Ovis aries: one gene and its partner. The main gene of each other region encodes a partner of the protein of the gene in region 2 in a complex. Links are inferred from orthologs where the notes say so. Each region holds a gene or a part of one and is shown on either strand. Other genes may lie near its edges.

What was found.
Region 1: the proteins of WDPCP (region 2) and INTU are in contact, whole or in part, in a cryo-EM structure (PDB 7Q3E), measured with the Mus musculus proteins. The link is inferred for Ovis aries from reciprocal best matches to the Homo sapiens genes WDPCP and INTU. Residues at the interface, in NP_663400.2 of Mus musculus: Phe3, Cys4, Leu5, Ile24, Leu51, Ser54, Arg55, Asp56, Lys93, Leu385, Ala386, Glu387, Asp388, Tyr389, Ile427, Lys446, Leu447, Gly448, Ile449, Leu450, Thr451, Arg452, Gly453, Leu455, Leu462, Gln463, Ile465, His466, Tyr467, Gln487; in NP_780724.3 of Mus musculus: Val481, Gln484, Val488, Asp491, Ser495, Asp496, Glu498, Ala499, Ala500, Asp501, Ser506, Glu507, Asp508, Arg513, Arg514, Thr517, Ser532, His533, Leu534, Pro535, His574, Tyr593, Glu610, Gly613, Cys614, Ala615, Ser616, Lys617, Ser653, Pro654.

What each region holds. Positions count from the first base shown.
Region 1 is NC_056070.1:30,205,874-30,216,258, forward strand, and holds the start of INTU (protein inturned), read right to left. Parts: upstream 6,258-10,385; 5' UTR 6,172-6,257; coding exon 6,026-6,171; intron 1-6,025. UniProt on the Homo sapiens protein: Plays a key role in ciliogenesis and embryonic development.
Region 2 is NC_056056.1:44,884,766-44,894,675, reverse strand, and holds part of WDPCP (WD repeat-containing and planar cell polarity effector protein fritz homolog), read right to left. Parts: intron 5,727-9,910; coding exon 5,117-5,726; intron 1-5,116. UniProt on the Homo sapiens protein: Probable effector of the planar cell polarity signaling pathway which regulates the septin cytoskeleton in both ciliogenesis and collective cell movements.

The DNA of each region.
Region 1 (10,385 bases), on a different chromosome or scaffold from region 2:
CATCTCATCCTCTGTCGTCACCTTCTCCTCCTGCCCCCAATCCCTCCCAGCATCAAAGTCTTTTCCAATGAGTCAACTCTTTGCATGAGGTGGCCAAAGTACTAGAGTTTCAGCTTTAGCATCATTCCTTCCCAAGAAATCCCTGGGCTGATCTCCTTCAGAATGGAGTGGTTGGATCTCCTTGCAGTCCAAGGACCTCTCAAGAGTCTTCTCCAACACCACAGTTCAAAAGCATCAATTCTTCGGCGCTCTCTCTTCTTCACAGTCCAACTCTCACAGGCATACATGACCACAGGAAAAACCATAGCCTTGACTAGACGGACCTTAGTTGGCAAAGTAATGACTCTGCTTTTGAATATACTATCTAGGTTGGTCATAACTTTTCTTCCAAGGAGTAAGTGTCTTTTAATTTCATGGCTGCAATCACCATCTGCAGTAATTTTGGAGCCGCCCAAAATAAAGGATCAATTAAGGTTCCAGGAGAAAGCAGCACTTAAATGGGACCTTGAATGACGATGACAAGTAGAGACAGAAAGAAAAGGTATTTCAAACAGAGAGAACAAAGTACGTACAAAGTGTAGGAGGAGTGAAAGAACACTGTAGGACTGAGAATGGGTAACCATTTCAGTGTAGTAATATTATGCACTGAATTCTTATGTTCCCCCAGAATTCATATTTTGAACACTACCCCCCAATGCAATGGTATCAGGAGGTGGGGCCCTTGGGATGTAATTAGAATTAGATGAGGTCACAGGGTGGAGCCCTCATGAATGGAATTAACGCCCTTAGAAGAGCCACAGGGAACTCGTTTCTCCTCTCTACTATGTGAGAATACAATGAGAATGTGCAGTCTGTAACTTGGAAGAGGGCCCTCACCAGAACTTGGCCATGTTGATATCTTGACCTTGGACTTCCAGTCTCCAGAGCTGTGAGAAATAAATTTCTACTGTTTATATACCACTCAGTTTAGGTTTTTTTTTTTTTCTTTTTTGCTCTGTTACATGGCTTGTGGGATCTTGGTTCTCTAACTAGGGAGAACCTGTGCCCCTGCAGTGGAAGCATGGAGTCCTAACCACTGGACCACCAGGGAATTCCCTAGGAGGTTTTTTAATTAGTGGCCAGAGCTAAGGCAAGTAGGAATAAAGGTGACTTAAAGGAAGATCATCAAAGATGGGTCTGAGAGGCTAAAGAACAGATCTAAAATAGCTTTAAAAAGCATCCTAAGGAATCTGGAATTTATTTGGGAGGACATCAAGCTTTTCAGTAGAAAAATGACTTAATAGATTTTTCTTTTTTAGAGCAGTTTCACGTTCACAGCAAAACTAAGCTGAAGGTACAGCGACTTTTCATATACTCCCTCCCCATGACATGCATGACCTCCTCCACTATCAACATCCTTCACCAGCGTGGTTCATTTATTACAATTGATAAACTCATAATCATAATCACCCAAAAGCCATAATTTACGTTACTGTTTATTCTTGGTGTTGTACAATCTACAGCTTTAGACAAATGTATGATGCCATGTATCATCCAACCACTATATAGCATCACACATAGTAGTTACACTGCCCTAACACAATTATTCTAATATTTCCAAGTTTAAAATAAAAGTTAAAAAAGATGAAGGCCCATAAAGTTTCCCAGTTACCAGGAAGATAGTTTTATGTTGAAGAAAAGCATGTCTTTTCTAAGGCAGCCACACAAAGATTTCATTTCCAAAGAGACAGAAATGCTTATACATTCAGCCTTTATTTTCCCTTAAAGTGTTTGCCCCTTAGAATATAGCGCTCTTGAGACATCTTGTAAAGTAATAAGTTACAACCAAGAATTAATTCTGAATTCCTAAAAACCAGAGAAAACTTGATGAAATTAAAATGTCAACACTTTCGGGTTTTCGGAACCCTACTCTTAATCCAGTACTTATTACACTGAACCAAAATGCCTCTCGTAATAATCTGCTGAAAAAAGTATTTTGACATTGCAAATATGCTATGGATACTAACAAAATTAGTCAAAGTTTCAGTTATTTCAGGCTACATTATAAGAAATTTCATTGTAATCGAAGTGGTTGAATTCTCTGAACAATACAGTCTGCAGTGATCAAACCTGAAATATTAGATAAGTTTTTTAATCTCAGCCTTCTTTTCCTGATCATAAGGATGATCTGGTTAAGCACATGGATAGCTACTTCATTTTAGCTGGCTTTGTTGGTAATATTCATGCTTGTGTTCAATTATACTTTTGATCCAAACTGCTACACTGTATCTTTTTGTAATAGGTTCTCTACAAGAAAAATAATTTAGAACTATAGTTTAGAAAGTAAACAGAGGCAGCTGTATGGAAGAAAGACAGAAAACAGGAGAAATTAGAAGCACCCGGACCAGTTATAAGGCTACTCCACTGGTATAAGTGACAGGCGAGCCATTTAAGTAAGGCGGTGCCTGTGAGAAGGGGAAGGAGGTGGTAGGTGGATATTAGAAAAGCAAGTCAACAGGATTGGAGACTTATCAGATCTGAAGACCTGAGTGAAAAGAGAGTGAGGTCAGCAAATGAGATGGGCAACACTAGTGGAGAAACAAGGCAGACAGTGAATTCTCTTCAATATGCTGAGATGGAGATGGTGGCAGAGAATTACCATATCTCATCATAAGCCTAGCTACATACTGTTTGACTTTTTAATTGACGTAATTTGATAAAAGAAAAAAGAAAAGAGAAGTCAAGGTTCCGAGTAGGAGAGAAAAAGGAAAATGTTGCACTAGACTGGATATTATTAATAATATATTGCACCATAACTCTGAATGAAACATTTTTATTCTTCAATTAGCACCTTCCCACATTAAAACCCAAGAAAAAGACAAATTTTGATATATCCAAGGAATCCTATTCAGAAATAAAAAGGAAAGAACTACATATAAGTAACACAATGAATCTCAAAATAACTATGCTCAATCCTATTCAGAAATAAATGGAGGCCTATTCTGAAATAAAAAGGAGAAAACTACATTTAGGCAACAATATGAATGAGCCTCAAAATAAGTATGCAGAGTAGAAGAAGCTAGACAAAAAAGAGAGTCCATACTGTATGATTTCATTTTTATAAAACTCTGGAAATACAAACTCATCTATCACTACAGAAAGCAGGTAAGTGGTTGTAAGGAGTGAGGCAGGCATGAGTAGTATTGGGGAGGCACACAGGGAAACTTCTGGAAGACAAGGATATGTTTATTACCTTGGCAGATGTATACGTGTCAAAACTTATCAAATCGTACACTTTAAATATGTAAGATTTATTATATGTCAGTTACACTTCAATAAAGATGTTAAAATATCCCAGAAAAAAACGTAAAGGACATATTTCTCGTCTCCAGTCATTCTTCTTATTTTCAGTGGACATTCCTCAGCTTTTTATAGCTTAACTCTCTTTCTAAAGTATCCCTTTTTCTCCCCATCAGTCAAAGTTTTAAAACTCACAACAATAAACAATTCACTTTGAAAAAATCAAAACTCTAGGTCAATTTTATGAGAACTGGTAACTTTGGCCAACACAAACCAATGTGGCTTCAATGAGCTGGATAACTGTAAACCAAAGCAAAGAAACATGGAGTTATTGCAAGTAAATGTATTTCTGTCATTTTTCCCTCAACCCAACCCACCCTCCAGTATTACCTCTGAAGCTTCCTCAGGGACTAGCCAATAATGCCAGGTTAGGAGGTACTGCACTAATTTAAAAATTTCCTCTTGTAAGTACCTATTAAAAGTACTATAACCAGAATGTACCTTAAAGACATCTCTAAAAAATGATAAACTTATTCTGTATTGACAATAACTTGCAGCTCAAATTGGTTTTCAGTTTGAAAGCATGTCAGAAACAATGACAATTTCCAGAAAGAATATGCAGAAATTAACTGGAACCTTGAAAGTTCAGAACACTTTATGTGAATCAGTAAGTGGCGTAACTTCCTTAATAACCTCCATGTAGGCAATGAAAGACAACAAGCAATTCATCTCTTAGCTTTGATGAGAAAGCTTAGGTTCACATCCCTACATCTTTGATCCACATGTTCCAGTGTACTGTCCAAGCGGGGAAGGCCATCGCTTGCACTGGTCACTCTGCACCTTAGGGAGGTAAATATCATAAGGAAAAAACAGACAGAAGCCTACCTGGTCAGGTCAGTATATCAACTCGTATGTTCTAAACACCAAGAAATGCCAGCCATAAAAACTGTATCTTGGTAGGACTTCAAATACAGACCAGCTAAACAGTTTACCGTCGAGATTTCCTGTAGTCTTATTATTAGGATGTTAAAGATACTGGGACATATGGAGTGATCAGGAAATGACTGATACAGAAAATTTAAAGGCCATTAAAGAAAAAACTAAAATATAATACATATATACATGTATTCGGAATCACACTGCTGCTGCTAAGTCGCTTCAGTCGTGTCCGACTCTGTGAGACTCCATAGATGGCAGCCCACCAGGCTCCTCTGTCCCTGGGATTCTCCAGGCAAGAATACTGGAGTGGGTTGCCATTTCCTTCTCTAATGCAAGCATGCATGTTAAGTTGCTCCAGTCCTGTCCAACTCTCTGAATCAGAAAATGCTTTGAAATAACACATTTTCTAACACAAGGTACTTAGCTTGCTCACTTCCCAGGTAACAGGGCTAGCTCATTTATTGATTCATCAAAATCAACACACCCCCTTTGAAAACAGTTCTAAATTTCTCCACTGACAACACTCAACTGTGTGACCTTAAGAAAATTATAGATGCTCTCTGAACTAAAAGTGTGCGATTCTACGATGTAGAGAAACCAAGAGTTTGAATCTCACATTGTCTATGGCTCCAATAGCAAGACCAAAGAAGGTTCCACATAATCCATACTTCCTTCAAGCAGCCTGGCTTGACAGCCATGAATTTTTAAATTATTTTTTAAATGACCACAGTAGAAGATTACACAAAGTGTTTGATATCCTTTAATTTGCTTAAGTCTTCCAGAATATAATCTGTCCCCACTAAGCCTTTAGAACACATTTAAGCAGCCAGTAGTGATGGTTTTCTCCTACTGCTTTTTAAAGATAATGATAAAAATGTTTTATATATCTATGGGTGAAAATAACTGCCAAGTAACTGATACTCCTAAAATACACATTATATACTCCTGTTATGTTTAAATACATAAAAATGTCATTCTAAGAATGACTATATATGGCAGTCACTGATTGATGCTTTGGCACCAGAACAGTTTCATAGCTAGTTGTTTCAAGCAAACACTAATTACTTTAATTGACCTTTTCAAAAAGTTCTCAATCCATAGCAGTAAGGAATAAATGCCTTCAAAACTGAAGCAGCATTGGGTACTGGGAACAAAAATAACTTTGCATCATTTTTAGGGATTAAAAAAGTAGAAAATAATACTTAAGATACTCTGCATTTAAAAATTACATTATGACACAAAACAGAAAACAAGAAAACCATGTAAGTTCATAGGAAAATACAGCAGAAATACCCCCCCAAAGCTAAAATACAGCAGAAATACCCCCCCAAAGTTGAGAGGTTGTTCTCAATGGTGAGGCTAGGGTTGATCTACTTTCTTTTATATATCTATTCAGTTTTATAACGGCAGAAAAACCTACGTAATTTAAATAGTTGACCAAACGCAGAAGGTGTCCCTTCACTCTAAATACTAATGAGATTAAAGTCACAAAGATCATGACACCAAAGAAGACACTGCGACAGAACAGAATTTTGTGAACACTCTAGCAGATTATACTCTGATATATTACAAAACTCACCAAAGAGACCCTCCTCCTTAAAACCTACAATAACAAAGAATGTACAGTAACAGTCATTTCGGCTCACATTATCGCACAGCTGAAACCTGGTGCAAATAACCCCCACTTATTATAGAACCTCAAACAATTATTCTCTACCACGCCAACACTCTCGAAGTCTCCCCAACCCACGTGTACACTTTCGGGACAGAAAGGATGGATTTAATTGTCCCTCTTCGAGAACCTTACTTAGAGTCTGTACTCGTCGGGGAGTATGAACCCGAGTCGCTGACCGGATCTTCAGGATCATAATCCTGATCTTCTTCTTGTGAAGAAGAGTCTCCAGGAAGTCCCTCTGGGCTCCGAACCGAACCGCACAACGGCAGAGACGCCATCAGCAGGGATGCCGCCGCTACAAGTAGAGTAATTCAAACCCCGCATCTACTGCTTGCCGGCGCCGCCATGTTGCCTCCTCTAGTGCAACGACCGGGGCCACGTGACCACCAATCCTCAGCTGCAATTGGTGGCAGCTCAGGTTGCCAGGGAGACGGGGAAGCTTCTTGGCGAGAACTGAGACCCCCCCAGAAAGGAGCCAATGAACTAAAATTTCTAGGACATCCGGGAAGAATGGAAGAAGCTAAAATTTAACCACTTACGCTCCCCGAAAGACTCTCATTTGGAACAGCTTAACCTGTTAAATCTAGTGGAGGCCCACTGGATTTTTTCTTTTTCTTGCAGTTTGCACTTTGTTGCTACGCCGAACGTCTGTCCAAAACCTTAGATGGGCTCCGTTTGGGTTTCCCTAGAGTAAAGGAAACTACCCTCTACGTCTCTGTACGTGCTTGGAATAGACGCTTTTAAGCAATACCATGTAGGTGTTAATGTAAACATGCGCCATTATTTCTTTGGTTTTCTTACTGTTTCACAGAAGTAAATATTTTCATAGTTCTCCCAAGCAGATGTTGTTGAGGTGCTTCAAATTGGTGCCAATATTGTGAAATCAACTGCGTGTTCATTTTCTAACTGAAAATTTTATAATTTGATGAAGTGTTCTAGTCACTGAAGTTGGAAGGGTACACAGGTAAAATTTACCTGTCTTTTGCGAATACTTGCATCAACTATTTTTGGAATGTACAAAATAATAGCATTTATTTAGATTCGGCCATTGCTCTAATTACTTGTTCATAGGTATACGAATATACATGAACTAAATTTCTCTATATTAAAATAAGGAAACTGAAGCTTAGAGAGGTGTTATTCATCTGGGTTATGGTCACACGGGTAGCAGGAGACAAAGCCAACAAGAGCCGAAGTCATTAACCATTAGATTATCCTTACTCCTCAGCACCCAGTAATTCAACTATTCAGCTCAGTTCAGTCCCTCAGTCGTGTCCAACTCTTTGTGACCCCATGAATGGCTGCAAGCCAGGCCTCCCTGTCCATCACCAACTCCCAGAGTTTACCCAAACTCATGTCCATTGAGTTGGTGATGCCATCCAACCACCTCATCCTCTGTCGTCCCCTTCTCCTCCTGCCCCCAATCCCTCCCACCATCAGGGTCTTTTCCATTAGAGATCAGTAATTCAGTATTAGAGATCTATTCTAAGAAAATAAGAGCTGCAAATAAAATTTATAAAACTTATAAAAAGCTGAAAGCAAGCTTAATGTTCAGCAAAAGGGTAAAATTTAAATGTCTTTAAATATAAAGTATGATGAATATTATGATCTTAATAGAAATGTTTTCAAAAGCAATGCATGGGAAAATGTTCCTATTATAGCCGTTAATTTTTTTAAAAAGATCTTAATGTTATTTTATGATCTCAATGGATGAGGGCTGGGGATTCAACTTAAACTATATGGGTAGATGGTAGAGACTGAAAGATGAATGTGAAATTTATAACGTATAATGTACTATGATAAATACAGAGTTCTAATGGAATACCCAAAGGAAAACAAACTTGGGACATGTAGGGCCACAGCAGATTTCTTAGAGGAAGGCTTAACTTATCTTGTCATTACAGAATATTATGTTCTAAACAGTGAAGAGTAGTGAAAGATGAGTCATCCCATAGCCCAGAGAGATATAGGCATATATATTGCCCAAAAGAACCTGGGCAGTAGCCATTACATATTTAAACTTTCAAGCTGCAATTTAGTTTCATTTGTCACATTAAATTATGTATATTTGAATATCCTAAGTTTAATGGTTTTATTTTATTGATTTCTAAATTTGCTTTTTAATAATTTTTAACTAGCTATTTAATTTTGTTTTGCAGTTTATTTGTATTAATTTATAAAATTGTTTTTATCTTATGAAAGAGCTGTAAAGCACAGAGCTTACACCTGCTTATTTTAAATTATAGTAAAGTTTGTCATCCCTGGAAATCTGTAAGTCTTTCCTGAAAAGAGAAGTCCACATACCACAAATATTAGAAAACAGGGGACTAGTTCATAAAGGGATAAATGGGTAAAGGGATGATGACAGAAAGAGATGGCACCTAAGGAACAGATGGAGAGATATGACCTTGCTCAACACCTCTTCTCTGCTGCTGGTACCCAGAGGAGGATGCAGGTGTGGATGCTGACTTGCCAGTGTCACTCAGGAGGCTAAGGCAGTCTCCATGTGATGGTGTTTATTTTCTCTAGTAGTTAGAAGACAGTCTTGTCAGGTAAAAGTGATGGGGAAAGTAATGGGGTCAGAAGCCTCAAGAGAGTGGAGTCAGGAAAGAAAAGAAACATATTTCCATCAATATTGAGTACCCACCCCCCAAAATAAAGGTGTATTACTTTTAAAATTAGAGATACTATTAAAAGGTGGAACTGCTATAATAGTTATATTATATTTCATCTTAAAACATACATATTCTCACCACAATCCCTAAGATTCCATTCTAAAATTAAAATGCTTTCAGTGCCTCTTTAATAAAGTTAGACTTTCCTCATTTTAAAAGCACCTTATTGGAAGTTAAAAAAAAAAAAGACATTTTTTTTTTTTAAATTTTTTAGTTTTTTATTTTTTAAATTTTAAAATCTTTAATTCTTACATGCATTCCCAAACATGAACCCCCCTCCCACCTCCCTCCCCATAACATCTTTCTGGGTCATCCCCATGCACCAGCCCCAAGCATGCTGCATCCTGCGTCAGACATAGACTGGCGATTCAATTCACATGATAGTATACATGTTAGAATGTCATTCTCCCAAATCATCCCACCCTCTCCCTCTCCCTCTGAGTCCAAAAGTCCGTTATACACATCTGTCTCTTTCCCTGTCTTGCATACAGGGTCGTCATTGCCATCTTCCTAAATTCCATATATATGTGTTAGTATACTGTATTGGTGTTTTTCTTTCTGGCTTACTTCACTCTGTATAATCGGCTCCAGTTTCATCCATCTCATCAGAACTGATTCAAATGAATTCTTTTTAACGGCTGAGTAATACTCCATTGTGTATATGTACCACAGCTTTCTTATCCATTCATCTGCTGATGGACATCTAGGTTGTTTCCATGTCCTGGCTATTATAAACAGTGCTGCGATGAACATTGGGGTACATGTGTCTCTTTCAATTCTGGTTTCCTCGGTGTGTATGCCCAGAAGTGGGATTGCTGGGTCATAAGGTAGTTCTATTTGCAATTTTTTAAGGAATCTCCACACTGTTCTCCATAGTGGCTGTACTAGTTTGCATTCCCACCAACAGTGTAGGAGGGTTCCCTTTCTCCACACCCTCTCCAGCATTTATTGTTTGCAGATTTTTGGATCGCAGCCATTCTGACTGGTGTGAAGTGGTACCTCATTGTGGTTTTGATTTGCATTTCTCTAATAATGAGTGATGTTGAGCATCTTTTCATGTGTTTGTTAGCCATCCGTATGTCTTCTTTGGAGAAATGTCTATTTAGTTCTTTGGCCCATTTTTTGATTGGGTCGTTTATTTTTCTGGAGTTGAGCTGCAGAAGTTGCTTGTATATTTTTGAGATTAGTTGTTTGTCAGTTGCTTCATTTGCTATTATTTTCTCCCATTCAGAAGGCTGTCTTTTCACCTTGCTTATATTTTCCTTTGTTGTGCAGAAGCTTTTAATTTTAATTAGATCCCATTTGTTTATTTTTGCTTTTATTTCCAGCATTCTGGGAGGTGGATCATAGAGGATCCTGCTGTGATTTATGTCTGAGAGTGTTTTGCCTATGTTCTCCTCTAGGAGTTTTATAGTTTCTGATCTTACATTTAGATCTTTAATCCATTTTGAGTTTATTTTTGTGTGCGGTGTTAGAAAGTGATCTAGTTTCATTCTTTTACAAGTGGTTGACCAGTTTTCCCAGCACCACTTGTTAAAGAGATTGTCTTTACTCCATTGTATATTCTTGCCTCCTTTGTCAAAGATAAGGTGTCCATATGTGTGTGGATTTATCTCTGGGCTTTCTATTTTGTTCCATTGATCTATATGTCTGTCTTTGTGCCAGTACCATACTGTCTTGATGACTGTGGCTTTGTAGTAGAGCCTGAAGTCAGGTAAGTTGATTCCTCCAGTTCCATTCTTCTTTCTCAAGATTGCTTTGGCTATTCGAGGTTTTTTGTATTTCCATACAAATCTTGAAATTATTTGTTCTAGTTC
Region 2 (9,910 bases):
GGATCATAAAAAAAAGCAAGATAATTCAAGAAAAACATCTACTTTTGCTTTATTGATGACACTAAAGTCTTTGATTGTGTGGATCACAACAAACTGTGGAAGATCCTTAAAGAGATGGGAATACCAGGCCACCTTACCTGCCTCCTGAGAAATCTGTATGCAGGTCAAGAAGCAACACTTAGAACCAGACATGGAACAACAAACTGGTTCAAAATTGGGAAAGGAGTACGTCAAGGTTGTATACTGTCACCCTGCTTATTTAAATTATATGCAGAGTACATCATGAGAAATGCCAGGATGGATTAAGCTCAAGTGGGAATCAAGATTTCCAGGAGAAATATCAATAACCTCAGACAATCAGATGATACCACCCTTATGGTAGAAAGCTAAGATGAACTAAGGAGCCTCTTGATGAAAGTGAAAGAGGAGAGTGAAAAAGCTGGCTTAAAACTCAACATTCAAAAAATTAAGATCATGGCGTCCAATTCCATCACTTCATGGCAAATAGATGGGGAAACCATTGAAAGAGTGACTCCATTTTGGGCTCCAAAATCATGTGGACAGTGACTACAGCTATGAAATTAAAAGACACCTGCTCTTTGGAAGAAAATCTATGACAAAGCTAGACGTTGTATTAAAAAGCAGAGATATCACTTTGTGGTCAAAGGTCCATCTAGTCAAAGCTATGGTTTTTCCAGTAGTCATGTATGGATGTGAGAGCTGGACCATAAAGAAGGTTGAGCACCAAAGAATTGATGCTTTTGAACTGTGGTGCTGGAAAAGACTCTTGAGAGTCCCTTGGACAACCAGGAGATCAAATAAGTCAATCCTAAATGAAATCAACCAAGAATATTCACTAGAGGGACTGATGCTGAAGCTCCAATACTTTGGCCACCTGATGTGAAGATCCAACTCATTGGAAAAGACCCTGATTCTGGGAAAGATTGAAGATAAGGGGGCAACAGAGGATGAGATGGTTAGATGACATCATCGACTCAATGGACATGAGTTTGAGCAAACTCCAGGAGATAGTAAAGGACAGGGAAGCCTGGCATGCTGCAGTTCTTGGGGTCAAAAGAGTCAGACACGATTGAGTGACAGAACAAAACCTCAGAACTGATGGCATTTCATTGCTGACTGGATATGGCGTTAGGAATGAGGGAGGATTCTAGGATGATTTCTAACTTGTAATTCTGTCCATCTAAATAACTATAACATCCCTTAAACTGAAATACACAGGAGGAAAAGCAGGGAGAAAGATGACAACTTCAAGTTTGCACATAATAAATCTGAGGCAGTTGTGCAGACTCAAGGGGTAGGTTTCCTGTAGGCTAGGTTAACATGTGGGTGTGGAGAGCAGTGGCCTAGGCTGAAGTCAGAGACAGGATACCAAAATAAAAAGTAAACTCTTGGTTTGATGCATGAGACAGGGTGCTCAGGGCTGGTGCACTGGGATGACCCTGAGGGATGGGATGGGGAAGGAGGTGGGAGGGGAGTTCAGGATGGGGAATACATGTACACCCATGGCTGATTCATGTCAATGTATGGCAAAAACCACTACAATATTGTAAAGTAATTAGCCTTCAATTAAAATTTAAAAATTAAAAATAATTTAAAAAAATAAAGAAAGAAACTCTCATTTTGCATAAAATGGGAGGGGAGCTAAAGATGGAACCTTGGAGAGCCTGAATATTTTCATGAGGAGGCAGAAGAAGAGCATAAAAAAGTGCCAGAAAGTTGCATTGAGAGTCACAGAAGGCAAGAACAATGAGAATTTGATGGTAATGTGGTCAGGAGCCATCAAATGCTGAAAAGTCATCAAGTAACTGAAGAAAAATATGTGTATCAAGTAGGAAGTCACTGGTGAACTTTCCAAGAGCAGCTCCAGGAGAAGATTGAAGAGAAGAGCCAGAAGGTGGTGCTGTGAGGGGGAATGGGGGCGAAGAAGCAGAGAAATTCAGTGTTCACTATTCTATTAAGAGCTTGACTGTGAAACGACGGTGAACATTTGATTAATAACAGAGGGGAAACAATTTTAAGGAACAGATGTATGTTGCTTTGTTTCATGGTGTGGCTTGGGCCTGAGCCTGCTGATGTAGCAAGATTCATGGGGAGAGTGGGGAAGGTGACAGAGTAAAGGCGTCAAGGGGAATGCTGTGGGATCCAGCGTGGAACTAGTCGTAGGTAAAAGGCAGGCTCCTATCCCACTGAATTGAAACTGAAAAGATTTATTACATGGAGGTAAGTGGTTGGGTGGGTGGTGAGGAGCAGATAAAGTCAATGAAGTATCTATTAAAAGGGGAGATTCTCTGTTGAAAGGGCAAGAAGCTGATCACATGAGTTTAAAGAGAGCAGTGAAAGTTGGAAAAGGTGATGAAGAGAATGGAAAAGCTTTATTATCTAAGAAATAGAACTAGGAACTCCTCTTTTTAAAATTAATCCCAGTTTACATATATGGAAATATGAATAATGATTGTTAGGTAAAGAAATTCTGATTACATACTGCCTCTACCTAGAAGGATGACACCTCTTGCTCCCTCCTGAGGAAGACATGTTAGTTTTTCACATTCTTATAGTAACAGTGGTGATGGCCTTTTAACCTCCAGTGGCATTTGTGTGATAATTATAAGGATTTAGAATGGAAGCTCTAGCCTTCAACAGAGTTTTCCTTCAACATTACACTAACTGACCTATTCTAAGAGTCAGACTCCAAAAATCTTAGCATATTGGCAGCAGCCACTGACACGTTTACATATGACAGCATTCTATTTTAAACTATGATCTATCTCAGCTTCTTAAATTGTACGCTACACCTTTCATGTCAAAATTTCCAAAGGCTTGCATAACAAGCATATGAAAAACATCTCATAAATGCTCTCTAGTGGGGAAACTGCACATGAAACTACCTGTTTATATATGCAGTAACTTGAATTATACATGAAAATTCCACATGGATGCCCAGAATCAGCACTGTGTTAATTCAAGAAGTATATTAAAATTTCTGGATGTATTTAGTAGCAGATCCTAAGAAAAATCTGTTCTTTAAACAGGGTTTTCTTTAAAAAAAAAAAAAAAGAAAGAAAGAAAAAGATCTGTTAGCTGGAATATACTGTTTCAAGGAATCTACTCTTCCTAGGAAAAATAATATATAATAAACAATAATCTTCTCAAAAATCTCAAAAACACTTCATTCTCAAAAATCCTGGGAAACTCCATGTTTTGTTCTTTTAAAGACCGTGTAAGACTGTAAAATTTCCCTATTCTATAAATCTTATAAGTCATAATGAAAATAAAATTTAAATGATAAATGTCAGTTGCAGAAGTTATCACCTTTTCATTTGAATGCTTGACTTCTATTGGATAATTCTCTTCCAAGAGACCTACTTGGGAAAAAGAGGTGACAGCCAACTCATTGCCTAATTGATTTAGGAACAGTGCCCAGGGAGATAGTCCAATTAAGTTTACAAGCTGGCAATTAGCAGGAAGCCCTCTAAATCCCTACACTGAGAGCCTGTTTACTTTAGTAAGAAGGCAAATGTGCTAGAGATAGGAAGAGAAAGCTGTGCTTTTTGCAAAGCTGTTGTGAGTAGGCCCACAAGGGAGGGCTGAAGAAAAGCTAGGTATATGTTAGTAGATTGCCTTCTTGTTTGACAGGTAACTGGGATACAGAGAGAGGGAGAGAGTTTCAACAAATATGCAAAACATCTAACATCCACTTTAATAAGTGTTGTGTGTGGAGACACACCACTATTAAACATGTAGTTGGGCAAAGTAGAACTGGATTATCTCATAATAAATGAGATTCCAAACATATTTTTATTGGATAATACTAATGTTATGAATGGATTTAGGTTCTTTTTTTTTCATGTGAAAAGAACATAGGCCTCACTTATATCCCTGATAGCTTTCAAGTTAAGTCATTTTCATTAGATTTATTTCATTCGTTCTATTTCAGAGGCAAGTAGATCCATTAAAAACAAAAAGTAAACTGACAGTTACTTAAAAAACAATGTTTTTTAAAAACTTAACTTTGTGCCACAGAGCCAAATGTGTAAGGGGTTTTGAAATGTATCTACTTTTCTATGTTTTCAGGTTGCAATCAGTTCAGTTCAGTTCAGTCGCTCAGTCATGTCTGACTCTCTCCAGGCCTCCCTGTCCATCACCAACTCCCGGAGTTTACCCAAACTCATGTCCATCGAGTCAGTGATGCCATCCAGCCATCTCATCCTCTGTGGTCCCTTTCTCCTCCTGCCCTCAATCCCTCCCAGCATCAGGGTCTTTTCCAGCGAGTCAACTCTTTGCATAAGGTGGCCAAAGTATGGGAGTTTCAGCTTCAGCATCAGTCCTTCCAATGAACACCCAGGACTGATCTCCTTTAGGATGGACAATAATGTGCACTAATTGAAACATGATTTTTAAAACCTAAGCAAGTTCCTCTCAAGAATGTTAAATTATCAAAACTGCCTTAAAAATATCATATATTTAAGGACATAGCTGGTAATACAAACCTATAGAAGGCAAATAAAAATTATGTTGAAATAGTATACATTAATACATAATTTTCCTAATATTGAAATAATTTTTTGAATATTTTTATCTAAAAGAAAAACATAAAGTTACACAAATATCTTCAGCAAATTCTAACCAAGCATTTTCCTTCCTCTTCTTTTAAAACTCTTGTTTTACATATTTTCAATCTGGAAAGAAATGAACACTCATCTAAAATAACTTAATAGGAAAAGTATTATATCCCTACACACAGAATTTTACAATGGACATAGTAAGTACTTAAAAATATTCTCATATGTACTATTTCTTAAGGAATTTTTTTAGTAGCCAGTTTAGTTTGGAAAGCATCATATATGGACAGCTCAGGCTTTTTACTCATGTGATGGAAAATTAATGCAATTTCAAAATTTTTCAATATATAATGGACCTTGAGATTTTAGAAAATCATCCACAAAACTTTCTTAAGAAAACTACATGAAATGTTTGAAATGTAAGCATATTGATGGGATGAGAAACAAAAAAATCTACATTCCAGGAACAGTTTTACTGTCTTAATTATACTGTCATCATAAAAAAATTTATTTACTCACCAACTTCCTTGACTTACCAAGTTTAAACAGAAGTACACCCAAAGGTCCTCTGTCAAACCTGAGAAAGAGGAGATTATAGATGTCCCCACTTTCAAGCTTCTTAGAAACAACCTGAGGCGCTATCCACTGCATTTGAACAAGACTGCTGGAAACATCAAAGAATTTTTTGAATTGTAGAGTCTCCCTAGGTGAATTGTCTTCAGCCAAAAGCTGGATGTTAATAGGAGAAAGAGCCATATCAAATATTTGCAGCTCCCCTTGGTTACTGCCAACTAGCAGAATGGCCCCACTTGGGTGGCAGCTTACTAACGAAGGCAGAAGTTCAGCCTGAGCTAAGAGAGTCACTCTACGGTGAGTTTCATAAAGAATTATTGAAGAATCTTCACAGCCCAGGATCAGTTTGTCTTCAGCAGCATTCCTGCAACAACTAATGGCCTTTGACTTAAGTGGTATTCTGGTGACTGATACACACTGGATTTTGTTCCGAACACATTCATAGATGCAGCTGTCAGCCATGGGCTCTTTGTCTACACTGATGGAGCACTCCACTGTCAACACTTGATTAGGATGTTTGGTGTTAAAGCGAACATCCAGTGGATCCCATTCTGTACGTACAGAACTCAGAACCTGTAAGAAATATAACAAGTATGTTCAGATAGACTGTGGTTTTTCTTCAGCTGTCACACATAGCACTGCATATTAATCTAGAATCCTACTGAATAAAGTCAATTACCACCTTAAATATCAGCAACATATTAGCAGGTATGCATATATCTCATATAGAACATATATAAATGTGTGTGTGTGCACGTGCGCTGTCATGTCTGACTGTAGTCTGCCAGGTTCCTCTGTCCATGGGATTTCCCAGGCAAAGAGTATTGGAATGGGTTGCCATTTCTTTCTCCAGAGGATCTTCCTTGACCTAGGGATGGATCTCCTGTCTCCTGAGTCTCCTGCATAGGCAGGTGGACTGTTGACCACTGAGCTACCTGGGAAGCCCATATATAAATAAATATAGCACGTACTGAGCACAGCTGCAGAAATTAAATTATAAAATTTTAACTTAAGCATTTTGTTTTAGAAAGTCTGTAAGTAACATACAGACAAATATTTCCTACAATATACAGAAACTAATAGAGTGGGCTTTTAGTAAAATAATACACCTAGCAGATTATCTAAAAACATCAGAAGTGTGATTTTTAAAGGATGAATAAAGGATTTTAACAATTCAGTTCATCTTCTTCCAACCCACTACCCCTGCTGATTCTAAAATTACTGGTAAATTATTTACCAGAAATATATTTCTAATTAGTAGTGTAAGAAATAAAAAACCAAAATGGTCCGTTTTCAAGAACATCTAGCATTGAGTGAGAGCTTGCTGATGTAATAGCCAATAGCTGATAGCCATAAGGGATACAAAACTACAAAGTCTGGGCAAACAAAGGGAGGGTGAGATGCCTAAGATTTTCGTGCAGGTTCATCCTACAGGTGAATTCAAAACCTAAGAACTGGAATAGGTACACAGAAAAGGAGGAAATAAGATGTGGCGGGGTGGTGGGAGGAGATCATAAAGAGGGAGGGAACAAACCTAGGTGACATCCAGGAAGACTGTTTACCCCTTGGTACTCAGCCAAAGAGGAACAGGGAGAGGGACTTGCATTCTAGGGATAAGATGCTCCCTGTAATGACTCTGGGTGTGCCTGCCCATCAGACACCAGATCTTGCAAGACTATCATTAAAGCCTTACTTCCATTCTTTGGGTTTGAGCTGGTGAGCGTGTTTCTCACAAGTAGGGCAGGGTAGGCAAAAGAAAAAACTTTAGAACTCTGTTAACATTCCTGTAGAAATATTTTGTTGTTGTTGTTGAGTTGCTAAGTCATGTCAGACTCTTTTGCAACCCCACGGACTGTAGCCCACCAGGCTCCTCTGTCCATGGGATTTCCGAGGAGTAGGTTGTCATTTCCTTCTCCAGGGGATCTTCCTGACACAGGGATTGAACTTGTGTCTCCTGCACTGGCAGGCAGATTCTTCTACCACTGATTTTATTGTCAGAAAAGATATGAAGGGTTGTTAAGTAGGTCAGTGATCAACAGAAGAAAATAAGAAGGTAATGTACTAGTTACGACCCAGAGGGATGATTCAGGGAGGGAGGAGGGAGGGGGGTTCAGGATGGGGAACACCTGTATACCTGTGGCGGATTCATGTTGATGTATGGCAAAACCAATACAATATTGTAAAGTAATTAACCTCCAATTAAAATAAATAAATTTACATTAAAAAAAAAGACCTGGTGAGTAATATGACTTATAATACTAGTGAGGCAAAATTTGAAAAGCATTTCTAGTGTGGAAAGCAAAGGCAACAAGAATAATAAAGGAACAAAGCAGGCCATTCATCTTATTCATATGTAAATGTGGGAGGCCAAAAATCTGGAGAATGGTATCTGAGATCATTTTTAACACTGCTGAAAACCTCAAAATTAGATTTAGAAACATTACAAAGCACATGTCTACAAGAGACAGAATTTCACAGAACTCTGCATGTGTGTTTGTGCACTCGCAGAAGTTCTAAATCTGACGAAATAGGCCAGTATCTGAGTTAATAGTATTATACCAAGGTCATGTTCCAGGATTTGACAATGTACTGCAGTAATGTACATTACTGGGGCAAACGAGGGAAACTAGGCAAACTAGGGGGAAAAGTACAGGAAGGGAATATGCTTTTAGCCATTTTGGCAATTATTTTAGCAGTCTGGCTGTCTGGGGAGGCCTTTAGCTGTGAAAAGAAGAGAAGCTAAAAGCAAAGGAGAAAAGGAAAGATATAAGCATCTGAATGCAGAGTTCCAAAGAATAGCAAGAAGAGGTAAGAAAGCCTTCTTCAGTGATCACTGCAAAGAAATAGAGGAAAACAACAGAATGGGAAAGACTAGAGATCTCTTCAAGAAAATTAGAGATACCAAGGGAACATTTTGTGCAAAGATGGGCTCGATAAAGGACAGAAATGGTCTGGACCTAACAGAAGCAGAAGATATTAAGGAGAGGTGGCAAGTATACACAGAAGAACTGTACAAAAAGATCTTCACAACCCAGATAATCACGATGGTGTGATCACTCATCTAGAGCCAGACATCCTGGAATGTGAAGTCAAGTGGGCCTTAGAAAGCATCACTACGAACAAAGCTAGTAGAGGTGATGGAATTCCAGTTGAGCTATTTCAAATCCTGAAAGATGATGCTGTGAAAGTGCTACACTCAATATGCCAGCACATTTGGAAAACTCAGCAGTGGCCACAGGACTGGAAAAGGTCAGTTTTCATTCCAATCCCAAAGAAAGGCAATGCAAAAGAATGCTCAAACTACCACACAATGGCACTCATCTCACATGCTAGTAAAGTAATGCTCAAAATTCTCCAAGCCAGGCTTCAGCAATACGTGAACCGAGACCTTCCAGATGTTCAAGCTGGTTTTAGAAAAGGCAGAGAAACCAGAGATCAAATTGCCAACATCCGCTGGATCATGGAAAAAAGCAAGAGAGTTCCCGAAAAACATCTATTTCTGCTTTATTGACTATGCCAAAGCCTTTGACTGTGTGGATCACAATAAACTGTGGAAAATTCTGAAAAAGATGGGAATACCAGACCACCTGACCTGCCTCTTGAGAAATCTGTATGCAGGTCAGGAAGCAACAGTTAGAACCGGACATGGAACAACTGACTGGTTCCAAATAGGAAAAGGAGGATGTCAAGGCTGTATACTGTCACCCTGCTTATTTAACTTATATGCAGAGTACAGCATGAGAAATGCTGGACTGGAAGAAGCACAAGCTGGAATCAAAATTGCTGGGAGAAATATCAGTAACCTCAGATATGCAGATGACATCACCCTTATGGCAGAAAGTGAAGAAGAACTAACAAGCCTCTTGATGACAGTGAAAGAGGAAAGTGAAAAAGCTGGCTTTAAGCTCAACATTCAGAAAACGAAGATCATGGCATCCGATTCCACCACTTCATGGCAAATAGATAGGGAAAGAGTAGTAACAGTGAGAGACTTTATTTTGGGGGGCTCCAAAATCACTGTAGATGTGATTTTCATCGACTGCAGCCATGAAATTAAAAGACGCTTACTCCTTGTAAGGAACGTTACGACCAACCTAGACAGCATATTAAAAAGCAGAGACATTACTTTGTCAACAAAGGTCTGTCTAGTCAAGGCTATGGTTTTTCCAGTAGTCATGTATGGACATGAGAGTTGGACTATAAAGAAAGCTGAGCACCAAAGAATTGATATTTTTGCCAACTGTAGTGTTGGAGAAGACTCTTGAGAGTCAAAGGGACTGCAAGGAGATCCAACCAGCCCATGCTTATGGAAATCAGTCCTGAATATTCATTTGGAAGGACTGATGTTGAAGTTGAAACTCCAATACTTTGGCTACCTGATGTGAAGAACTGACTTATTTGAGAAGACCTTGATGCTGGGAAAGATTGAAGGCAGAAGAAGGGGATGACAGAGGATGAGACGGTTAGATGGCATTACCAACTCAATGGACATGAATCTGGGTAAACTCATTGGAAAAGACTTTGATGCTGGGAGGGACTGGGGGCAGGAGAAGAAGGGGACAACCAAGGATGAGATGGCTGGATGGCATCACTGACTCGACGGGCGCGAGTCTGAGTGAACTCCAGGAGTTGGTGATGGACAGAGACGTCTGGTGTGCCGCAGTCCATGGGATCGCAAAGAGTTGGACACGACTGAGCAACTGAACTGAACTGATGGTCTTCCTAGTGGTTACGTACAGTTGTGAGAACTAGACCAT